Linked DNA regions of Pelodiscus sinensis. The main gene of each other region encodes a partner of the protein of the gene in region 3 in a complex. Links are inferred from orthologs where the notes say so. Each region holds a gene or a part of one and is shown on either strand. Other genes may lie near its edges.

Evidence for each region. Proteins that work in one complex are often made in the same cells at the same time.
Region 1: MFAP1 (region 3) and ZMAT2 share a complex: the UniProt entries of both Homo sapiens proteins name them as parts of the spliceosome B complex. The link is inferred for Pelodiscus sinensis from reciprocal best matches to the Homo sapiens genes MFAP1 and ZMAT2.
Region 2: MFAP1 (region 3) and SMU1 share a complex: the UniProt entries of both Homo sapiens proteins name them as parts of the spliceosome B complex. The link is inferred for Pelodiscus sinensis from reciprocal best matches to the Homo sapiens genes MFAP1 and SMU1.

Annotation. Positions count from the first base shown.
Region 1 is NC_134727.1:1,797,280-1,805,062, forward strand, and holds the start of ZMAT2 (zinc finger matrin-type protein 2), read right to left. Parts: upstream 3,095-7,783; 5' UTR 2,945-3,094; coding exon 2,927-2,944; intron 1-2,926. Other genes in the region: histidine--tRNA ligase, cytoplasmic-like, read left to right, coding at 3,411-3,503, 4,395-4,484, 5,890-6,009, 6,280-6,375, 7,334-7,459. UniProt on the Homo sapiens protein: Involved in pre-mRNA splicing as a component of the spliceosome.
Region 2 is NC_134716.1:58,659-66,470, forward strand, and holds the start of SMU1 (WD40 repeat-containing protein SMU1), read right to left. Parts: upstream 3,095-7,812; 5' UTR 2,969-3,094; coding exon 2,943-2,968; intron 2,075-2,942; coding exon 1,864-2,074; intron 1,181-1,863; coding exon 1,028-1,180; intron 1-1,027. UniProt on the Homo sapiens protein: Involved in pre-mRNA splicing as a component of the spliceosome. Regulates alternative splicing of the HSPG2 pre-mRNA. Required for normal accumulation of IK.
Region 3 is NW_027466027.1:125,009-133,017, reverse strand, and holds the start of MFAP1 (microfibrillar-associated protein 1), read left to right. Parts: upstream 1-4,940; 5' UTR 4,941-5,044; coding exon 5,045-5,123; intron 5,124-5,452; coding exon 5,453-5,672; intron 5,673-7,338; coding exon 7,339-7,468; intron 7,469-8,009. UniProt on the Homo sapiens protein: Involved in pre-mRNA splicing as a component of the spliceosome.

The DNA of each region.
Region 1 (7,783 bases), on a different chromosome or scaffold from region 3:
CAAGAGAAGCCAAGTGCGATGTCATTGTATTTGAGGGATAAGATTTTCAAATCAGAGATAGAGACTCATGCCCTCCCAAAAGCCCCTCATCCAGCTCAGAATCTAACAGATCTTCTTGAATTTGCATGGAAAGCTTCCCCGCCTCTGAGGGGCTTTCAGAAGAATAAGTGTCTCTCTCTTTTTCTGGGCTTGGGATAAGATTGTTAAATCTCCCAACTTCTCTGTTTGAAGTTTAGCTGTAAATACAGTCTCTTCTACTGGGGAGAAAAACGATATTTGTCCAAGCACATTTTGCAGGGAGAGAGGGGGGACGCTCCACCTCCTTCAATTTGTGGTTCAGAAGATCAGGGTTTCTCTGAGCTTTGCTTGGGGCAGAGAATGGTGTCTCTCCTCTGCTTAGGTCCATTTTGTTTCATTTTGTTTTTATGGGGAGGGAAAAGATCATGGTGAATTCTCCCTACGTATCTTTTTGTAATGTTAGAAGAAAGAAGTAGTGACCATAAATCTGCCCCTTTACCCACAAACACTTTCAACACAGACTATAACCTGCCGAATAGGGATGTTAAATTTAGATTAATGGGCTAATCGAATAGTTGATGCACTGACTAGTTGATTAATCAATAAGGGCACCTTCCCCTTTGAAGTGTAGCAACAGCTGCAGGGCTGTTGCCCCACTTCAAAGGCAAAAGTGCTGCGGGAGCCCGGGGTCAGTGGGCTACTCAAGCAGTTCCCCACTGGTCCCATGCTCCCTGCAGCATTTCAAAATACCAGCACCACTTGGAGCTCAGGGTCAGCAGGAGACTCCCCAGCAGGCCCCGGACTGCACGCGGCGCTGCTGTTTTGAAGCACCCCCACCTTTTCCCTCACCCCTTGCTGCCTCTTTCTGATAAGAAGCAACTAGTTGACTATCCTGTCAACTATTCAATAAGTATTTGCTTGTGGATTAATTGTTGACATCCCTACTGCCGAATGTATACTATAGCAATTCTTAGAACCCAGACTTACACGAAATTACTGATCAAATCTACACTCATGCACATGATCTAAGCATGCTGTTATCCACATAGATCTGTCAAAGTATTTACACCTACTAGAAACATATCTAAACATATCAATGTAAATGTCAACAAAGATCAAATAAGTTACAATCATTCAGGTATCAGAGGGGTAACCGTGTTAGTCATTCAGGAGAAGTCACAAATCAAACAGTGTTTTTATAGTTAAATTTTAGTTTTAGAACAGCTTAAATTACAAACACTTAAGCTAGATAATAAGTGGCTGAGGGGATTTCAAAGTAGTTATAAAAGAATTAGAGACACCCCTGCAGGACGCACTGCATCACAAAGAAGCCACTAGATAGATACAACCACATCCCATTTTACTACTAATTAAGGGAGCAAATCTGTGGTCCAACTTTGTCAGAAAAGCATACAGAATGCTTTGGCTCCCACAGCTCAGTTACACTTGCACTGTGGTAGGTAAAACTTTTTTGGGGCAGGAGTGTGAAAAAACACACCAGATCAACCAAGTAAGTTTCAGCAACAAAAGCACTGGTATAGACAGTTCCATGTTGGCAGGAGATGCTTTCCCCGCCACTCGTGAGGGGTGGTTTAATTAAGAGGATGGGAGAACTGTCTCCTGTTGGCATACAGCAACTACATGGCTGCCTCTCGGGTCTGTAGTGTTCACGGAGTTTAAATAGAAATCTTACACCTACAGTCCTACAAACAAAATTCCACATGCACAGAAGAATTGGAGTCACAGAACAAAAGTAAGATGAACCCCGCCCTTGTTAGCATACCTAAAAAACAGCCTCTGCACTTCTGGTTTGATCTCAACTAAAGCAGCAATGATCCTACTGCAACGCAATGGAGCAAAATCTAAAGCTGAATAAGTATTTAGAATGGATTAACACCAGTCCCAGATCTCAGCAACATTAACTAGGGATGTAACAGAATAACTGTTTACATGGTTAACCAATAAGCCTGAGTTTATTGGTTACATGAATGGTTACATGCACATTCCTGCTCCACTCCTGGGGAACCAGCTGCCACCCTGCACTACTAGCTCTGTATTAGAGCACAGAAAGCAAAGCAGGAGTGCGGGGCAGCAGCTGGAAGCCTGTGTGCACTGGCTCCCAGGGAGCTGGCTACTGCCCCATGCTGCAGGTGCACGTAACCGCTGACATTTCCAGTGGTTACACGGTTACCAAAATACCCACTTTTTAACATCCCTGCTATTAACCGCCAACCAAGGAAGGAAATGTCTCCCAGAATAACTGACATCAACAACCGTCAGGATGTGACATCAACCCCCAGAGCACGAATCGAGGGTTCTCAGCCAGGTCACCCGGAGGTCTTCGGGGGAACATCAACTCATCTAGGTACTTTCCTAGCTTGTCTGTAACTGGGCGGCAGCGGAGGGGTCCCACGGGGATTCCCTGCTGTGACCCCTCCCTCTGGGGCACCTGGGACTGGCCCGGGGGCCGCACACAAAGCACTCGCCCAGTGCCCGGCCCCCGACAGGCGGGGCCGGTGCCACAGCCGCGGGGGGAGGGCGCTCGCGGGCACGGGGCTTGCCGGCGGGAGGAGACGCGGGGGCAGGACCCGGGCCCCGGACGGGCGCGGGCCCGCGGGATGGGGGGGCTGGAGAAAGCGGAATGGGGGGGGCCCGCGGGATGGGGGGGGCTGGAGAAAGCGGAATGGGGGGGGCCCGCGGGATGGGGGGGGCTGGAGAAAGCGGAATGGGGGGGGCCCGCGGGATGGGGGGGGGATCAGCGGCTCGCGCCCACGTGCGGCCCCGCGCGCAGCCCTCCGCGAACCCCGCCTGGGGACCGGCCCGCACCGGGACCCGCAGCCTCGCGGGGTGCGAGCCGGGAGCGGCAGCAGCCCCGGGCTCCCCCGCGCGCCCCGCTCTCGGCACCTACCCCGCTGCCCGACGCCATGTTGGATGGGAAGCGAATAAGGAACCAGACGGTGCCGTACGCGGGCAGCCAGAGCCGTAAAGTGAGCCAGTCCTCCCGAGCACCATCGAGGGGCGGCCGCGTAGCTAGAGCGTAGCGGCGGCGGGTGGCGACCGGAAGTGGATGTTCCGGGCTCCGTGGCCCGGGTGCTTTTGAGCTTATTTTTGTGCCTCTCGGGAAAGGCCCCTGAGGCGGCTGGTTGCAGGTCAGAGGGTCGTCCCCGTGCCGACCCGGAACAGCTCGGTCCGCCCGGCCCGGACGCTCTAGCTCTGAGGAAACGCACAGGAGGCCCTGAGACTCTATGGTTAGAGTCAGCTACTCTATGGTTGCCCCGAGCCTGAGTCCTCCGGGGCGGGCGTCAGGGCAGAGGGGGCCGGGGCCGGCTCCGCCCGCGTCTGCCTCGGGCCTCCCCGCCGGGAGCCTTCGGGATCCGGCCGCCGCCTGAGCCATGAGCTGGCTGCGCCCCCTCGCCGCTCGGCTCCGCCCGCGCCTGGCGCCGCACTGCGGCCTGCGCGCCTTTGCCGGTCACCCCCAGAACCAGGTGAGGCCCGGCCCGGCTCCGCCCGCCTCCGGGCGCGGGGCTTTGGCTCCGCGACGGGCCGTCGGGAAGCAGGGAGCAGCACGGGGCTGGCGCCGGGATCCTGCCGCCGGGTCGCTCCCATCCTCCCTGCTGGTGAAAACCTCCCCTGGAATTGCTGTGGGGTCCGAGGGCGGCAGCGCGTCTGGCTCGCTGTCCAGCCCCGTGCGCACCGAGCAGTGAGCGCAATCGGGCCGTCAGCTGAGTGCTCTGCCCCGATCCCCGCTACAGGACGGGGGAGGCAGAGGCAGCAGACCTGTTGCGTCTCCTGCACGTTGTCCGGCAGGGACTGGTAGAGACTGTTCTGGCTGGGTAGAAAGTGATGATTCCGATTTGGGAGTCTTCTAATTTATCTGAAAAGCCCAAACAACTCACTGTACTTTCCACTCTGTAGTCACTAGGCGTCAGTGGCTCCCAGATTTCCATTTAAAATGACTTATGCAAGAAAAACTAGTAGAAGCAAGAACTCCTATTACAGTGGAGCTGTTATGTATATTGCTTGTAGCTGTGTCAGTCCTGAAATAATAAAGAGACAAGGTGGGTGAAGAGATGCCTTGCACTGAACCAGCCGCAGTTGGTGGAAGGTACAAAGCTTTTGAGTTACACAGTTGTAGTCTCAGAAAGGAAATATGTTGGGGACTGATTAAGAGGAAAAGAATTTCATTCCCAGACCCCCAAAGGTAACTCTCCACCTCTTTAAAGTGGAGCTGTTAGTAATGAAGGAAACTTCCTGTAGGCTTTGTAGTGTCCCCCAATCGAGCTGACTTTGTGCTGCCAGAGGATGGAGAAAGGTCTGCAGGCTCTCAGGAGTCAGTGTCATATGCTGTTTATCAAAAGTCTTTTCTCCATTTCTAGGTGGCAGAGGGCATGGTAAAGCTCCTGCAGCCAAAGACACAGGTGGGACCTGAGGAAAAGAAAAATAATTTTGTTCTCAAAACCCCCAAGGTAACTTCCCTTCTCCTTCAGGGATGTGGGTCTCTCCTGGGTTGTTTTCTCTCCTGGCTCCCCCACCCTATCTCCTCTACTAGCATATGGTGTAAGTGCTCCCATCCCTGAAACTACCCTTTTCCCGCTTGTTATCCTGCACTCTGTGGGACAGTGGGATGCACAGTTTCCCTCAACTCCAGATTCTCAAGCCTAAAATTCTTTCTCTTTTTCCCATTCCATTCCTTCTTTCCAACTGACTCTTCTGCTAAGAGCACAAGTAAATGAGAAATTAGTGCCTGGCAAACAGGGGCATACATTTACCGTACACCAGCTCTCCGTATGGACTCTGTGAACTAAAAGTTCCCTAATCTCTCAACTAGCAGCAGTTCCAGCGAATCATCAACGTGTATTCTTGGTCCAACTACCCATTATAGCACCAAACTTTTGAGCACAGGAGCTTTGAGCAGCTGAAGGAGCTGAGAATACATTAGATATTGGATGGATTTACTGTTGCAGGTTGGTGGTGAAGGAATGGAATTTCGACACCGTATAGATCCAAGCACGAGGGTTTATTATGCACAGCGCCGGCAGAGTATCACTTCGCTCATTAGGCTCAGTAAGACACTGCCAAACAATTGATTACAATAGATTACATAGGGTGCCAATGAGCCTCTGAATATGTTCTAGCAGCAAGACACAATTAGCACAATAAGCCAATAATCTAAAAGGTACATCATTGCTCCGCCCATAGCTCAGGTTAACATGTTTGCTATTACACTGGTGTTACCCCTCACACTTCTCCTCTTGCAAGGTGTAAGTTAAATCCTGATTTCGGGTCCATAGAAATGATTATGGCACTTCCCAGATGGGTTGGCCGCAGGTACATTCCTAGTGGGTCTTAAAGCAAAAAGAACAGTAAACAGTACACAGCAACGACAGTTGTGTGTAGTTATCACTGCATCCTCTTCAGCTCTGGTTGGCATCTATATGAGGTTGCTATAACTCAGGCTGACATGCTAGCCCTCTCCTTGAACTCTGGTTGGCGTTCGGGGAGTGTGTACTTGTTATCTCTTTCTGAACCACGGAGTCTCCGAGGTTCCTCTCTGTGAATTATGTGCCTGTAACTCATGATAAGTGCCCAATTACTGCTCCCTGGGTTGTTCTGTCTTAGGTTGTTTATGGCTGGTTAAACAAACATGTCTGTTTCTTGCTTATCTCAATCTTTCTTTAGCCATGTATTGTCCATTGTTAACTAGGCCTCATGCCTCAGACCAGACCCCCGGAGTTTGGGCATATGTGAAAGATTCTTAACAGAGACTATGGTCAAGATCTTACATACATATTATTGGGATTTTGGCCCTTCAGGTGGCTCTTCACTGCTAACATTTTTCTTCTCACCCACTTGCCTTTGGTTTGCTCTCAGGGCACCAGGGACTATAGCCCCAAGCAGATGGTCATCCGGGAGAAAATCTTCAACACCATCATCAGCTGCTTCAAGCGCCATGGGGCTGAGGTCATCGACACCCCTGTGTTTGAGCTGAAGGTGAGGGCAGGGCTGCAGCATGACATCTGTGCTGCTGGAGGTGCTGAGCCCTGAGTCAGACGTGCTCCATAGCTTTGTCCCGTGAAATGTTTGGGTGAATTCTAAGGGGCAGTAGCTGCTAGTCATCTGCCTGGGATTCACTCAACTGATCACCTCTATAGTCAGGCACAAGGATTCTCCCTGCTTTCTCTCTGGGAGCTTCTTGCTCTTATTTTCTGTTTCTGGTGCTCGTCCCCTCTCACCTGACGCAGCTGTCTTGCTTTTCTGTAGGAAACCCTGACAGGGAAGTACGGGGAGGACTCGAAGCTCATCTATGACCTGAAAGACCAGGGGGGAGAGCTGCTGTCTCTTCGCTACGACCTGACTGTATCCTACCAGATGTTCCTGGGAAGCACCATCTCATCCCAGGATTGCTGGTGTTTCTTAGGCAGGTGTGTGGGATGGAGGTGGGGTGGAGGTGAGGACATGCTGGAATCTGTCATCTCCACCTAGCTGAGGAGGAATGTGTCTGCCAACTCCACCCTGTATACGTTCATCCCATTCCTCCCCTGCGTTTCCCTCGTAACTGCATCCATGGCATTGCCCACGGACACCTCTGTCTTGACTCCTCCTTAGCCAGACTTTCATCCCTCCCGCCTGCAACAGCCTGCTGCAACTCCCGTCTCTAGGAGCAGCAGCTAAGTCCCAACCTTTCCAACTCCAGCATTCCGAGAATTACTGCTAGACACACAGTGGTGACTACATCACCCCGTCCTCAAAACTAGCTCCCTGCTGACTTCCGATCTGTACGTTGAAACCGTCCATGGGCTTGCTCCAGCGTTCTCCCTGGACATTGATCTGCGCTCATCTTGGCCAGCCTCCTTTCTGACTCTTCATATGGCCTCCCTACTCTGAGTGAATGAGCCGTTGCCTTTGTTACTGCTGCCTAACGGGTCATCCATCCAGGGCCTCTGTGCTTCACTGACTGCAGCTCTGTTCACATTTCACCTGAAAGCATCTTGGCTCCCTTCTCCTCATTGTATTATGTACATAATTCCAGTTTGTATCCTGGCAGCTAAAGAATGCAGCATCTGTTCAAATGACCCACCAAAGAGGCTATTTGTTCTGGCTGCTAACTTGGTGAGATGACTAAGGTGCTCTTCTAGGGACTTTGCTGTCCTTTAGGACAGGTGGCCACAGTTTGTGGGTGACCTTTAGCGCGGGCTTTGCCGTGGTGTTGTGTTGTACTGGCTTAGCAGCTGTCTGTAGTGATAATGGGTCTGAATGACTGGCCATGGGCTCTCTGGGCCGCCTCTAGGTTCCATCCTTAACCCTTTGCGCTCAGGTGCCCTTTGCGCGTTATTTGGCGATGAACAAAATCACCAACATTAAGCGTTACCACATTGCCAGAGCTTACAGACGGGATAACCCAGCCATGACGAGGGGCCGCTACAGGGAGTTCTACCAGTGCGTGAGTACCAGCAGCCTGAGCGCTCTCCAAGCGGTGGGAGCTGTGTGTGCAGGCCCAGGGTTCCCCGTGAACTCTGAGAAGGGTCTGTCTGGGGTCCTGGCTCTCCACAAAGCACCGGGGAAGTGGACAGGGAGGACGAGGGCTCTGTGTGTGTCGGGCCTGTTGTGCAAAGCGAGGTGTCTCACAGATATAATATTAATAAAACGCTTGTTACTGTTACATCAGTTAAGTGTGGGCCAAGGTTTTATGTCAAGTTATCATTGGAGACTCCCACTGTAACAACCACCATTAACAGTCTTGTCAACATTTTATTAAAAATACAGG
Region 2 (7,812 bases), on a different chromosome or scaffold from region 3:
ATCATTTCCTAGAAGAATTGTGTCATAGAACACTGTCATTTTTACTAAAAATAAAATACAACTATAGGTTGAATCTCTGTAATCCAGACTTCCCTACTCCGGCAGAACCCTTAGTCCAGCATCATTGGTGACCCCCATGGATGGTTCTGGGACTAAGGATGTTATATTACGTTTAATCAGTTAATTGAGTAGTTGATGGAATTTCCATCAACTTCTCAATTAGTCAATAAGGGGGGAAACTGCAGAGCCATGGCAGGGCTACCTCCCACCCTGGGAGCTAATTCTGCTGCGGCTCTACCTTTCAAATGTAGTAAGAGCTGGGCAGCTCTTGCTATATTTAAAAAGCAGAGGCACCATGTCTGGGACTGGACACAAGCCAGGACAGCTGAGTCTCTGCCTCCCCTGTGTGCCCCCCCCCACAGAGACGGTGCTGGGGGGAACTGACTTTTAAGTCGGCTCCCCACAGCACCAACTCCTGCTCTCCCCACGGGGAGATGTGACTAAGTAATGACTTGACTATCTGATAAACCTAGGCTTATCGGGTAGTCGATTAGATGCTTACATTTTCAGATTGACAAAAGCATTTTCAGATTGACAAAAGTAGAAAAGTATTGTTTCTGGCACTATAAAGATGGGAAAATAGGTACAGAGTGATTAGGTGACTTGCCCAAAATCATATCGAAAGTCAGCGGCAGAAATTAAAACTGAATTTGATCTCCAACTCGGTGTTTTAGCTACTTGTGAATATTAAAAAAAAACAAATTCATGAAGTGCTTAGTAGAAACTTCAACAAACACTAACAACTGCAGTATCATAACAAAATAAAAACAAACAAATACAGAATTTGAGAAATGGGGATGGTTTAACACAGGAAAATCTGGAAGGAAAAAAAACACTAAATAGAGCAAGCTTTTCTTTAATAAGTGTTACACTAGTTACAAATGCAAAAGTGTTACGCTAGTTACAAATTCTCCAAGCAAATCATATAAGTATAACTTTTGTAAAAAATTCCACAAACACAACTTACTTCACGAGGGTCAAAGTAGGACCTAGCCAGGAGATTCTCAAGGTGAATGTATCTCTCTGGCTGAGTCTGTTTTAACATGATCATAGGATCAGTTTGCCTCAGAAGGGATCTGGCAGCACCCAATTCACGGAGCTCTATTAATTCCAGAACAACCTGGAGTAACATAAACAAACTTAGTATTCACACGATAAAATGCAACTCTTATGTTAACAGTTAAACAATGGAATAGCATTTACTACTGCAAAGTAGGGATGTGATAGTGTATCTGATTAAACAATTAACCAATAAGCACGTGCTTATTGGTTAATGCCACTGGTTACACACAGTTCCCTCCCCTCCTCCTTGCAGGCTGGCTCAGTCCTGGCAGCAACTCCCACTGTGGCTCTGCATTAAAATTGTTTTAGGAGCCAGCTGAAAGTAGTGCAGAGCCACAATGGGAGTAGCTGCACGGACTCCATCTCAGTCTTCCAGGATCATTAATTCATTATTGATGCTGAAGGTATGTATTTAACAAATATCCCAAGATGAACTTCCTATCTATAATTTAAAAAAAATAAAAGCATTAAAAGATTTGAGAAACGTATCAGGGAGGAAGAAAGAGTTTAACAATTAAACATACAGTTCATTTCTTCCCCACAACCCTAGTTTTATCCTTGGTGGGAATCTATTCAGGCACTCATCCAGTGCTGCAAGGCATGCATTCAGGCCCAGGACCATAGAGTAATTTTCCCTTGTGACATTCTGATAACTTTGATTTTGTAGTTAAGGGCAACAGAGTGATGTTCATAAATGCACAATAGAGCATATGGCTGATACTATGTTGGTGACACATCCACCTGTTCATAGAGGTCAATCAGGGTCTTGTCTGGAAGCTTGAGGGACTGTATAGCCTGTAACACTGTGTCCCAGTGCCCACTGTTGATGTCTGCCACAAAGCTCTCAATGCTGTCCACAGTGTTGAGGGACACAGTGGTCTCCTCCTGGAGAGTGGCCAGTGCACGATGAAGGCTATTCTCCTTCAGGTACTGCATAATGAGCCGGATCACACTAAGGGAGAGTGGGGGAGCGAAGACAACACAGAGAGAGACAGGGATCAGGCTCAAGCTCCCCTCCTCCAGCAGGTCACCACAAGCAACAAGGCCAGTGTACTCAACCCACCCCCACCGGTAACGGGCCCCGGGCCACCCTTCCCCAGCCCGGTACCCGCCCCCCCGCCGGTAACGGGCCCCGGGCCCCCCTTCCCCGGCCCGGTACCCGCCCCCCCCCGCCGGTAACAGGCCCCGGGCCACCCTTCCCCAGCCCGGTACCCGCCCCCCGCCAGTAACGGGCCCCGGGCCACCCTTCCCCAGCCCGGTACTCGCCCCCCGCCGGTAACGGGCCCCGGGCCCCCCTTCCCCAGCCCGGTACTCGCCCCCCGCCGGTAACGGGCCCCGGGCCCCCCTTCCCCGGCTCGGTACCCGCCCCCCCCCGCCGGTAACGGGCCCCGGGCCACCCTTCCCCGGCCCGGTACCCGCCCCCCCCCCGCCGGTAACGGGCCCCGGGCCCCCCTTCCCCGGCCCGGTACCCGCCCCCCCCCGCCGGTAACGGGCCCCGGGCCCCCCTTCCCCAGCCCGGTACCCGCCCCCCCGCCAGTAACGGGCCCCGGGCCCCCCTTCCCCGGCCCGGTACCCGCCCCCCGCCGGTAACGGGCCCCGGGCCCCCCTTCCCCGGCCCGGTACCCGCCCCCCCCGCCGGTAACGGGCCCCGGGCCCCCCTTCCCCAGCCCGGTACCCGCCCCCCCGCCGGTAACGGGCCCCCCTTCCCCAGCGGGGGAGCAGGCCAGTCACCCTCCCGCAGGCCGGCACACGCCAGTTACGGGCCCTGCCCGGGACCCGCCCCCCCAGGGGTCCCCGGCTCCGCCCCGCCCCGCGCTCACTCCGAGGACTCGATTTCTATCGACATCTTCAACCGCCCAGGATCGCCTCAGCGCCCACCAGACAGAGCAGCAAGCGCCACTTCCGGCCTCGCGCACACCTACTTCCGCCGGAGCGTCTGGCTAACCTCACGTGACCGGCCTAGCGCGCCCTGAGCCCACGTGGCCAGGCAGGCGAGGGGCGGGGCTTCGCTTCTGACTGTTGGTGGATTCCCGCCTTGGCCGCGTGGCTCGTGCGGCGCTCTGGGCCTGGCCTCGTTGCCTGCCGCTCTCTCGAGTGCCCCGCCCGCGGGCCTCGCCTCTGGCCGGCGTGTGCGCGGCAGGGGCTCGCGGCGCGGCCGTTAGAGCTGAGCGGCCATGGGCCTCGGCCCGCGCCGTGTCCTAAGGGCCGCGCCCCGGCTCGGGCTCCCCGCTCCCGCGGCTAGAGCCGCCCCGCGCCTGAGGCGTGTTCCCGCGCGCACGGCTGAGGGGTGTCAAGGCGGGAGGAGGCAAAGCGGCAGAGCTCAGGCTGACTGACGCCATTGTACAGTGGGGTGTGGCGGGTGGACTGGACAAGGAGCCGTTAGTCCCTGCTCTGGGCAGAGGGAGACCTGCCCCCCCCTCCCTGCCGTGCGCGCGCCAGCGGGAAAGGGAGCAGCTCAGCTAGTCAGTTGGAACCACTGAAGGGAGCGGATGCACACTGCAGGCCCCGCCCAGGAGCCGTTGGCCCCACACCATGGAGGCTAGCCGTGCTAAGGCCTAGGCAGACGCCAAGAGATGGAACCGTTGGAGCTTCCACAGGCTGAGCACCATGGACCTTGCCCCTGGAAGACAAGGTAGGACGCAGCCTGAGACCAGCCATTGGTGCAGTTGTATAACAGAGGAGGAAGTGCTTCAGTTGGGTCCCTTCCGACTCCTGATGAGTACACACACACACTGATAGGGCCCACGACTGCAACCTGATGGAGCAGTAAAGGCCTGGGTTCCCTTACGCATTAGCTCCCTGGATGGTTGTCTCGTCTCCTCAGGCCACACAGACAGGTTAAGAGGGTGGTCATACTAATTAGCCACAAGGCCAGACAGACTTGTAGGGAAGGGCAGCTGTTTTCACTGCCCTGAGGCTAAAGGCAGGCTCACTCATCTGCAGAGCTGTAACACCCTTTTCCCTGCCTCAAAGGGGGACAGAATGTGCTTGCCACAGGGGGCGTGGGAGAGAGGCTCAGATATTTAAACTTGCCATTCTAAATCTGAAACTTCCATTGAAAAACAGGGTTTTGTCAGGAAGGAATTGTAATTTTGCGAAATTTGTACAAACAGTGTTGGGTACTTTTTCTGTTGAGTAGAGCAGCCATGAACTCTCAGGTAGGATTTGAGAAGGTTGAAGAAGTTGTCTTGCAGTTAAAGATGTAACCCAAATGTGATGTAAAATGTAAGTTCCAGTCAGAACACAAGGGGAGAGACGTTTTTTGTCTTCCTTAGCAACACGCACTTTGTGGCAGTGCTTCTCTGGGCCCACTTGTCTCTGGAATCTGTTAGTAATGCCCAGATTTCTCTTGGGAGGTTGAGTGCATTGTCTGTTGGAATCCCAGGCCACAGCTTGAGACCAAGTGACTGAATTATCCTGAGAGCTGGGTGCTTCCCAGTTTGCATAGGAGTGTGCTGTGCTACTGCCCTGCAGCTAGCTTGCTTTCCAGTAATCTACAATGTAACTGTTGATGGAAGAGTTCTCATACTTTCCTGCTGTATGTGATGAGTTAGGACACTTCTGTAGAATCTCCATCACACTGATTCAAGTGACCCTGTGAACTTGAAATCTAGTGAGTGACAAAAATTGAGTTAAGCCATTAGATATGCTCACCCTTTCCCAGACACTTATACACATACACATTCCTGTCCATATTTGCTGTTTTACAATCACAGATTTGGGTTTTATCATTGCTTTTCTCTCCTCCTTTGAAAGGCCCACAAGTGGGGAAATCTGATGGGCTCATACAGGAGGAATAGATTGGTTCTATAAAAAGTGCTCTCCAGTGTACCAGGTAAAGGAGAGGAGAGACCTCTTTCCTCTAATATTCTAGTTATAGTACTCTGATTTGTAGGTGGTAAAACTGGCATGTGAAAACATTTTAATACTGTATTTAAGTGACGGTACCTTTCTATTGGAGAAAATTAAGCAGGAACTTGGACCCTTTTATAGTTCCTTTGAATTGGAGGGACATACTGGCTCTGAAATGGTGTTTTATGGGGGACATTCTTCTGTGCAGGAGTGTTGCCATTTGTTCATTGTTCTTTCACCTACATAAGAAGTTGGAAAAGCAGTGCAGTATTCCTTTGTATTGGCGAATAAAGCCAGCTATTTCCGTCTGAGTTGCCTGGCTCAATGGTGGTGAGTTCTGTTAAATCTTATTGATCCACTTCTCCTCTGTCAGCTATGAATATCAGCGCTGCTCCTATTGTCAGGGCTAAACAGTATCTCTGTGAAGTGCAGTGTTTGTGGCTTACCATGATTCAGAATTCTGACAACTCACAAGCTCTGCCTACAGAAATACCCAATGGAGAAAACTGAGACCTGTCTTAATAGTTTGAGCTCTGAGTCTATAAAACCAGTTTGTAATTGTTTTAAAATTCTTCTCTCTTCTTTGAACCTTCTCTAATTTATCCACATCCTTCTTGAACTGTGGAACTGGATACAATATTCTAACAGCCTTTGCACCGGTGCCAGGCTGGCCAGGACTCATCACAGAGTTCAAATCACGTGGTTCCTTTGTCACCTACAGAGAAGGCTGGAGTCTCCCTGTTCCTTATATCCACAAAAGGGTTGTCTGTTTCACAGGTTAGCAAAGCCTCCTGAAGATTGGCTCCTGTCTCAGGGGTGCAAGAGCCATGTTCATTCTTTGGCTGTCAAGTTCCAGCTCAAGATAACCCCCACTTACTTTAATTGGATAGCTTTGTTTAATGCTAATAAGTAAATTGAGAGAACCTACATTCCTTTCTCTAGGACAGACCTACTTATAACCTTTACTGAGGCTAGGCTGTCTGGTCTTAAACATGTTCAGTAACATCACTCAGAAGGAATTGATAATGTTATATGTATCATTAACACATACACTTTACAATAATGTTAATGAAAGCTTGTTGTTAGTTTTCGTATGACATCTTACACAGTGTTTTTGGATAAATACCATGACAGTAGTATATGGGAGTCATAGGTTAATTGGATCTAAGAAGAAACAGTGTACCCTGTGCCTGGGGTATGAAGAGCTGTTACAAGTTGCAGTTTGATCTTGCAGTTGCTGGTCGGATGTAAGTAATTTGAGACAGGTTTGATGCAATATTTTGTGTATTCTGCTGTTCATGTTTGTTCATTATAAAAGTGTCTCAGTGGAAGACACATGACAGTGCATTAACTTGACTTAGCATTAGAGTGGCAAAAATACAAGTTCCAACTTGATTAAGTCTTTACATTTGCCACATATATTGCTTTTGGCTTCAGAAACAATTACCAGACAACTGTATTTTGTTGGGTTTTTTTAGCCAGCTTCTTAGGGTTTTGTTCCTATCTTTTCCAAAACTTCTCTTAAAATAACACAGACCTTCTCACGAAGAGTTGGAAGGTAGGAATTTAGTGCTGTATATTTGTGTGTACTGGAGATACATGAGGGTCTGTGATGCATATTTCTCTTCTTGGCAACAATAGCAATTTGGGCTTGTTTTCCAGTCAGAAAAATCCAAGCACAAGAAGTGTCTCTTGAGCTCTGCTGTAGGTCCCAGTTGTCCAAGTCGATTCTATAGCCATGCAGCAGTAAAGATCTTTTGAGACATTCCTGCTGCCAATTCCTAGGATTGACCTTTTCGAGGCTAGGTGCAAAGATTTTTGCCATTTGATTTTGCTCCTCCAACGGGTTGGTCTGATAGTTTATGAGGGTTAGTTTTTTACCTATGACCACAATCTTGTTCATGCTTCCTAGGCAGCAGCGGTGATAGTGGTTTCAGCCACCCTTTTTGGGTTCTGCTTGTTCTGTCACTGCTCTATCTACTAATAAGAGATTAAAGTAGCAGGTGCTTTTAAAATAGAAACTGAAATAAGTAAATAAAATGGGCCAAATGTATCTGTTAGTTACAACTTTGCAACCCCACCAATTCTATTGGGATATGGCACAGGAATAAACCAAATAAACTATGCTTTTGTACCTAGTTGACCTAAGTTACATGGGCCACTGTAGCAATTGAATATGTTTTTCATATCCCACCCTATGCTATTTGTGTCAGTGGAGTGTGTGTCACCCTACACTGCTTGCCCTGATTGAACTACCAGTGTGAGGCATTGTTGGGCAGGCATCAGCAATTGATGTAAGCAACACATAGTGTCTGCACTGGCACTTTATTGGCCTAACTATATCAACCCAAGCGCTATCCCTTTCATGGAGGTGGCATAACTTGCCCTCTACAATGACTTAATAACATTTGTGGGAGCTACATGCTAAATGGTCTATTTAGAACCCACTCTATGAGCCTCATTTAGCATGGACACTCTAACCTACCATATTTCCCCCCGCCCCCCATTTTTTCTTTCTCTTTCTTTCCCCGTCCTCTCTCTTTCTCTGTTTTTTGTACCTTGGATCCCTTAACTTCATGCTACAGGACTAGTAGTTTTTAAAGTTTTTTTTTGGCCACTAGATATCGCTGATCATTCACTCAACAACTAACAGTTTTCTCAGTTCATCTGAAAAAGTGGGTTGTGTGCATGAAAGCTCATGATACCCTATACATGTTTTGTTAATTTTAAGGTGCTACAGGACTATTTGTTGTTTTATAAGTTTTTCCAGTTATAGACTAACTTGGCTACACCTCTGAAGTTTTTTCAGTATCATTCTAGTTTTACAGAACTTGTAGA
Region 3 (8,009 bases):
GTTTGGATAACAGTTCACAGGCCTGTGGGAAGGGCAGAACAAGGGGGGTCCACAGGGCTCTGTTTTGGGACCGGCTCTGTTCAGTATCTTCATCAGTTATTGAGATATCAGCAGAGAGAGGACGCTCCTTAAGTTTGCAGATGATCCCCAGCTGGGAGGGGTTGCGACTGCTCTGGAGGACGGGTCAGAATTCAAACTGATCTGGACAAACTGGAGAGCTGGTCTCAGGTGAACAGGACCAATGCGAAGTGCTCCACTCGGGAAGGAACAATCCGTCTCACGCACACGGTGGGGAGCGACTGTCTGGGGAGGAGCCCTGCAGACAGGGTCTAGGGTCGATTTGAAAACAATGGGAAGGTGGGTGGGCAAAGCCCGCTCACGTTCTAAAAGCCCCTCCCCAGCCTTACGGGAGGGACAACTGGACCCGTGTCCAACTGATTACAGGGGACACATAATGACGAAAGGATCAAGGAGTGCGGGTCACAGGTTCAAAATAAGGGAACCAAATGGGGACACGGAGCAGAGAACCCTGGACAGCGCCCACTGCTCCTCAAAGCTGTCGATGGAGCCAGTGGGCGCCACCCAGAGGAACTCTGCCCAGATATGTGACACAAGGGAGGAACAGAAATAGGCCCCACAGTCGCAGAGACCCCCTCGTCCAGCATCCTCCTCCTGGTATTAGAGATGGCGGCTTTCGCTAGGGCCAGGAGGAGGGTGACGAGGAGGTCTTGCGACTTTGTGGGGCCACGGATGGGGTGTGCATAAATGAAAAGGTGAGGGGAAAAGTGCAGCCAGAACCTCAGTAAGAGGTTCTGGAGGAGCCGGAATAGGGGCTGCACCCTGGCGCACTCGAGGTAGGCGTGGGCCAGGTTCTCCCTCACGCCGCAGAAGGGGCAGGTGTCCAGGATAGGGGTGAACCGCCCCAGGTGTCCAGGATAGGGGTGAACCGCCCCAGGTACACACCCGTGCTCACGGCTCCATGAAGGAGCCGCCAACTGATGTCTCCGATGGGCCGCGGGATTAAGATGGAATAAACGCCGGCCCCTCGGGGTTCCCCACCCTCAGTGGATCTGAGGTCGTCCCGCCACTTGGCATGGGGGCGGGACACGCGGGTGGGGAAATGCAGGGTGTGGAGCAGGAGCGTGTGCAGATGTTCCCTGGGCGCGGTTTGCTGCAAGTTCTGCAGCCGGCTGGGGGTCCAGGGACGGGGGGGCCGATAAAAAGGGACGGGGGGGTTGCAGGAGGGGAGGGGCGGGGCGCAGGGACGGGGGGGTTGCAGGAGGGGAGGGGCGGGGCGCAGGGACGGGGGATTGCAGGAGGGGCGGGGCGGGGCGCAGGGACGGGGGGGTTGCAGGAGGGGAGGGGCGGGGCCCAGGGACGGGGGGGTTGCAGGAGGGGAGGGGCGGGGCGCAGGGACGGGGGGGTTGCAGGAGGGGCGGGGCGGGGCGCAGGGACGGGGGGGTTGCAGGAGGGGAGGGGCGGGGCGCAGGGACGGGGGGGTTGCAGGAGGGGAGGGGCGGGGCGCAGGGACGGGGGGGTTGCAGGAGGGGCGGGGCGGGGCGCAGGGAGGGGGATTGCAGGAGGGGAGGGGCGGGGCGCAGGGACGGGGGGTTGCAGGAGGGGAGGGGCGGGGCGCAGGGACGGGGGGTTGCAGGAGGGGCGGGGCGGGGCGCAGGGACGGCGGGGCGCAGGGACGGGGGGGTTGCAGGAGGGGAGGGGCGGGGCGCAGGGACGGGGGGGTTGCAGGAGGGGAGAGGCGGGGCGCAGGGACGGGGGGGTTGCAGGAGGGGAGGGGCGGGGCGCAGGGACGGGGGGGGTTGCAGGAGGGGAGGGGTGCAGGGACGGGGGGGTTGCAGGAGGGGAGGGGCGGGGCGCAGGGACGGGGGGTTGCAGGAGGGGAGGGGCGGGGCGCAGGGACGGGGGGGTTGCAGGAGGGGAGGGGCGCAGGGACGGGGGGTTGCAGGAGGGGAGGGGCGCAGGGACGGGGGGTTGCAGGAGGGGCGGGACGCAGGGACGGGGGGGGTTGCAGGAGGGGAGGGGCGGGGCGCAGGGACGGGGGGGTTGCAGGAGGGGAGGGGCGGGGCGCAGGGACGGGGGGGTTGCAGGAGGGGAGGGGCGCAGGGACGGGGGGGTTGCAGGAGGGGAGGGGCGGGGCGCAGGGACGGGGGGTTGCAGGAGGGAAGGGGCACAGGGACGGGGGGGTTGCAGGAGGGGAGGGGTGCAGGGACGGAGGGGTTGCAGGAGGGGAGGGGCGGGGCGCAGGGACGGGGGGGTTGCAGGAGGGGCGGGGCGCAGGAACGGGGGGTTGCAGGAGGGGAGGGGCGGGGCGCAGGGACGGGACGGGTTGCAGGAGGGGCGGGACGCAGGGACGGGGGGTTGCAGGAGGGGCGGGACGCAGGGACGGGACGGGTTGCAGGAGGGGCGGGGCGCAGGGACGGGGGGGGTTGCAGGATGGGCGGGGCGGGGCGCAGGGACGGGGGGGTTGCAGGAGGGGAGGGGCGGGGCGCAGGGACGGGACGGGTTGCAGGAGGGGCGGGACGCAGGGACGGGGGGTTGCAGGAGGGGAGGGGCGGGGCGCAGGGACGGGACGGGTTGCAGGAGGGGAGGGGCGGGGCGCAGGGACGGGGGGGTTGCAGGAGGGGCGGGACGCAGGGACGGGGGGTTGCAGGAGGGGAAGGGCGGGGTGCAGGGACGGGGGGGTTGCAGGAGGGGAGGGGCGGGGCGCAGGGACGGGGGGGTTGCAGGAGGGGAGGGGTGCAGGGACGCGGGGTTGCAGGAGGGGAGGGGCGGGGTGCAGGGACGGGGGGGTTGCAGGAGGGGAGGGGCGGGGCGCAGGGATGGGACGGGTTGCAGGAGGGGTGGGACGCAGGGACGGGGGGGTTGCAGGAGGGGCGGGACGCAGGGACGGGGGGTTGCAGGAGGGGAAGGGCGGGGTGCAGGGACGGGGGGGTTGCAGGAGGGGAGGGGCGGGGCGCAGGGACGGGGGGGGTTGCAGGAGGGGAGGGGTGCAGGGACGGGGGGTTGCAGGAGGGGAGGGGCGGGGTGCAGGGACGGGGGGGTTGCAGGAGGGGCGGGGCGCAGGGACGGGGGGTTGCAGGAGGGGAGGGGCGGGGCGCAGGGATGGGGGGGTTGCAGGAGGGGCGGGACGCAGGGACGGGGGGGTTGCAGGAGGGGCGGGGCGCAGGGACGGGGGGTTGCAGGAGGGGAGGGGCTGCAGGCCGAGAGCGGCTGCTCCTGGAGTAGGCGCAGGGGGCCCGGGGATCCCCCCCCGTAGTCCAGAGGGCCTGGGCTGTGCCGCGGGCTGGGCGCCGGGGGGGCGTGTGCCAAGGCCCCAGGGAGGGCAGGCGGGGCTGGGGGAGCGCCCCCCCCCGGCTCTGGGCCCCCCCCGGCTCTGCCCCCCCCCTCGGCTCTGGGCCCCCCCGGCTCTGGGCCCCCCCGGCTCTGGCCCCCCTCGCTCTGGGCCCCCCCGGTTCTGGCCCCCTCCGCTCTGGGCCCCCCCCGGTTCTGGCCCCCCCCCCGGCTCTGCCCCCCCCCGGTTCTGGCCCCCCTCCGCTCTGGGCCCCCCCCCGGTTCTGACCCCCCCCCCGGCTCTGCCCCCCCGGCTCTGGGCCCCCCCGGTTCTGCCCCACCCCCCGCTCTCGGCCCCCCCCCCGCTCTGGGCCCCCCCCGGTGTTGCATAAATTGCTGGTTTCGTCCCCTTGGAGGCTAGTCTGATTTACCCCAAGAAGAGAGTCACACTTTCAGGCTGGGTCCAACTCAAGTTTATTGGTTGCAACCAAGGTACGGCTAAGGAACTCAATGTTCAAAGCAGAGCCGACCCCCAACATCTCATAGGCAGGGGTTTTTATAGGGTTCACATCTTTCCTGGTTTAGGTGCCTTAACATGATAGGTTACTTCATCTTTGACATTTAGCATTCCTATAGGTCAGGTTAATTTTCCAAATGAGGTTAAATACAGTGCCTACTTGCTGAACAATGGGCGAGCCATACTTCCCTTTTCCCTTTCCTGCTTGAGCCGGTCACAAGTTTAAAGGATGTGGAATCTATCCATATCTCCACTTAACAGAAGACTGGATTCACCTCCCCTCGTCTCCTTATTACAAGTTATTACCTGTGACAGGCCTTGACCTTTGTCATGTCTTACTCCGATACAAATAGCAAATATATCTAAGCATTAGCAATGTATGTATATTGTACGTGCCCCTCATAGGGGAATCAATGGCTCCGGGGGTTTTGACTTCCCTTTTACACATCACCGGTTCTGGGCCCCCCCGGCTCTGGGCCCCCCCGGCTCTGGCCCCCCTCCACTCTGGGCCCCCCCGGCTCTGGCCCCCCTCCACTCTGGGCCCCCCCCCCGGCTCTGGGCCCCCCCCGGCTCTGGCCCCCCTCCACTCTGGGCCCCCCCCCGGCTCTGGGCCCCCCCGGCTCTGGCCCCCCTCCGCTCTGGGCCCCCCCCGGCTCTGGGCCCCCCCCGGTTCTGGCCCCCCCCCCGGCTCTGCCCCCCCCTGCTCTGAGCCCCCCCCGGCTCTGGGCCCCCCCGGTTCTGCCCCACCCCCCGCTCTCGGCCCCCCCCCCGGCTCTGGGCCCCCCCCGGCTCTGCCCCCCCCCCGCTCTGGGCCCGCGCTGCAGGCGGATGCGGGGCCGGGGAGCCCCGGGGCAGCGATTCCCGCCGCGCATGCAAATAGATGCAAATAGATGCAAATAGCTTCATCCCAGCGGACGAATCGCGGCCTAAGGGCAGCGCCCCCTGGCGGGCCCCGCCCAGCTACTGCCAGGGCACGTGGCCGAGTCTCCAGGCACCCGGGGGGGAGGGGTCGGGCGGCGCGAGGGACCCGATTCCCCCTCCCCCCGGCAAATCAACAGCCGGTTCCGGGATCAAGTCCCCACCCGTAGTGACGTACTTCCGGCCAGCGGGCGCCTGAGCGAAGACAATTTCCGGGTCGTGGCTGTGACGCTCGGCTGGTTCCGGTTCCGGTTCGGGGCGCGATCGCAGCCGCTCTTGTCGGTGTCGGAGGGTCCCGAGTTCGGGCCAGAAGCCGCCGCCATGGCCGCGCCCAGCGCCCTCATGAAGCAGCCGCCGATCCAGTCCACGGCGGGGGCCGTGCCCGTCCGCAACGAGAAGGGTGGGGGGGGGCTCGCGCGGGGGGCGGGGGGACATGGGGGGCTCGGGCGGGGGGACATGGGGGCGCGCGTGGGGCGGATGGGGGGGCTCGCGGGGCGGATGGGGGGACATGGGGGGGCTCGGGCGGGGGGACATGGGGGCGCGCGTGGGGCGGATGGGGGGGCTCGCGGGGCGGATGGGGGGACATGGGGGGGCTCGCGCGCGTGGCCGGGGGGATCTGGGGGTTTGCACGCGGGAATTTGGGGGCTCTCACGGGGGGGCCGGGGGGCTGTGGTCCCCGTGGGGCCGGGGCGTTGAGGTCTGGTCTGGGGTAACCCCTCCCCCTGGCAGGTGAGATCTCCATGGAGAAGGTGAAGGTGAAGCGCTATGTGTCGGGGAAGCGGCCAGACTACGCGCCCATGGAGTCCTCCGACGAGGAGGATGAGGAGTTCCAGTTCATTAAGAAGGCGAAGGAGCAGGAGTTGGAGCCAGAGGAGCAGGAGGAGGATTCAGCCAGCGACCCCCGCCTGCGGCGCTTGCAGAACCGCATTAACGAGGATGTGGAGGAGCGGTAAGCCCCTGCCCATGACAGCCCTGCTTTAGATTGTGTCTACGCTGGCAAATGAGCCACAAAGGTTTTGTTGTTCATGGGCGTTTAAAAAAACAACCCTGACTGACGAGCCTTGTTGTAGCAACCGTTAGGGTGCGTCTGCACTACGCCGCTTTTAGCAGCAAGGCTGTGTCCACACAGCCCTGTGGCTAACAGTCAGCTTGTGAGAACGCTGTTGGTACTTTTGTCAGCAAAATACTGCCACCTCCAAGGAGGTTTTGCTTTGTCAGCAGCAGGGCGCTCTTGCTGACAAAGCGGCGTTTACACTTGCATTTGCCATGGAAAAACTTTGTCGTTCATGGGGGGGCGGGGGGGAGTTAAGCATCCATGGATGACAAAAGTTTTATCAGTTGAGTGCAATTATAGATGCAGTATTAGGGTAAAAAGTGCTTTGTTGGCAGGAGTGCTCGCCAGCTGATAAAGCAAATGCTGCTCTTGGGGAGCGAAAGTATTTTATCAGCAAAGGTGACTTTTGGCAACCCAGCCACGTAAGGTAGACAAAGCTTCAGTCAGACACACCGCCCATGGTGTCCGGCCCGCCTGCCCTGATGTACACTGACAGCTGTAGATACACCTTTGTTATATTTTCAGGAGAGTTTCTCTTTGTGAAAGACCTCCCTTTGGAGATGACTCTGCCAGAGTGCTGTCCAAGGGACTGTGTAAATAAACTAAAATATGAATAAAAACATGGAAAGAAAGTTTTTTGTTGTGGTAGCTACACTTTGCATGAGTCTTTTGTGGAAATACATTTTTCAGGTGTGTAACTTTTTGGAGTGTCCCTTTTTTGTTTTCCCCACATCTTAAATTGAGGGGTCTGAGGAGGAAAAAACAGCTTTGTGCATTGGCACAAATAATTCTTTAGATGTAGATTATTGCAGTTAGTAAGCAAGTTCTGAAAGGTGTCATAAGTGGTACAGCTAGCTCTTCACAGGAAGGCAAAATCTAGAAAACAGGACAACATTCTTGTATGGAGATAGGGAGTATTATATTACTGAATCTCATTGAGAAAAACAGATAGTTGAGGTTTTATTTAACTCTTCTCTAGTCAGTAATTCATATCTATTCGGAGTAGCCAGGTCAGTTCTAGAATTGCTTCAGTCTTTAGCGTAGCCAGCGAAGAAGCAGGAGGATCCCAATGGAAGCTGTGTTTTCTGCAGTGGAAGAAACAGGAAAGTCTGTTCTGGAGCAATCCACCTACTGCTTCTACTGATGCCATGTAAACCAACCTTCTGAGAAGAATTTTACTTTTTCCAGGCTTTGCTGTGATCACTGTGACTGTAGGCCAGGCACTCACAGACTGTCCATGAGAGTTCATGCTGTAGCATCATATTCAGAAGAGCTCTGGTTGTTACAGCATGATTATATTTAGGATACTGGTGGGTCTAGCCGCGTTTTGTAGTTACTTGAACAGCTGAGATTAGCATGTGTTCAGTGTGGTGTACTGAGATGCATCTTTGCTGTGGTTCCTGGAGCCAGAACAGTGGGGTCTGGAGGGTTAGGACAAGGCCATTGTGTAGCTGGAAGCGCTGGCTTGGATGTGTGTGTGGGGACTTCAGTTTGTAGATGGGCCATGCCTATGTCACTGCTTTGTGGTAGCTGAATTGCTAACTTTGGTGTCTGTGCATAGACTGGCAAGGCACCGCAAAATTGTGGAGCCAGAAGTGGTTGGAGAAAGTGACTCAGAGGTGGAGGGAGAAGCTTGGCGTTTGGAACGGGAAGACACCAGCGAGGAGGAGGAGGAAGAGATTGACGACGAGGTATGTGCAGATCCACAAAACATGCTGCAGATGCGCTGCAAGCTCCGGTTTCCCAGGATCTCTCGGCAGAGGTTCCACAGGGTGGAGGCTGGCTCCCTGCAGCAGGAGGCAGTACGAGGTCTGTGGGCAAATGGGACTGGCTAATACACGGCCGGTCTGTCGAGAGGTTAAAGGAGGGTCTACAGGTGGCCTTGCCTTGCCTTTGGGTGTCATGGGCTGAGAGGGACGGCTCTCTCGTGATCAGTAACCGATTAAAGGATAGGAGATGGGCTGTACTGGGTTGGGTGCAGTTCAACATTTGCAAGTCCAAAGCTGATGGCAAAGCCTTACAAAGGGACCGCACGGCAAATGCTTACTCGCGCAAAGCACGGAGACTCGGAGGCATCGCCATGGGATGCTGGTAGCCAAAACTAAAGCTGGGTTTTAATCTACCCTAGAGAAATCACTTCACAGAGGACAGGGCTGTTAGCCAAGCTGGCCAGGCATGCAACCGCACGCTCTGGGTGACCCTAACCCTCCAACTGCCAGAAGGGGGTTGGGG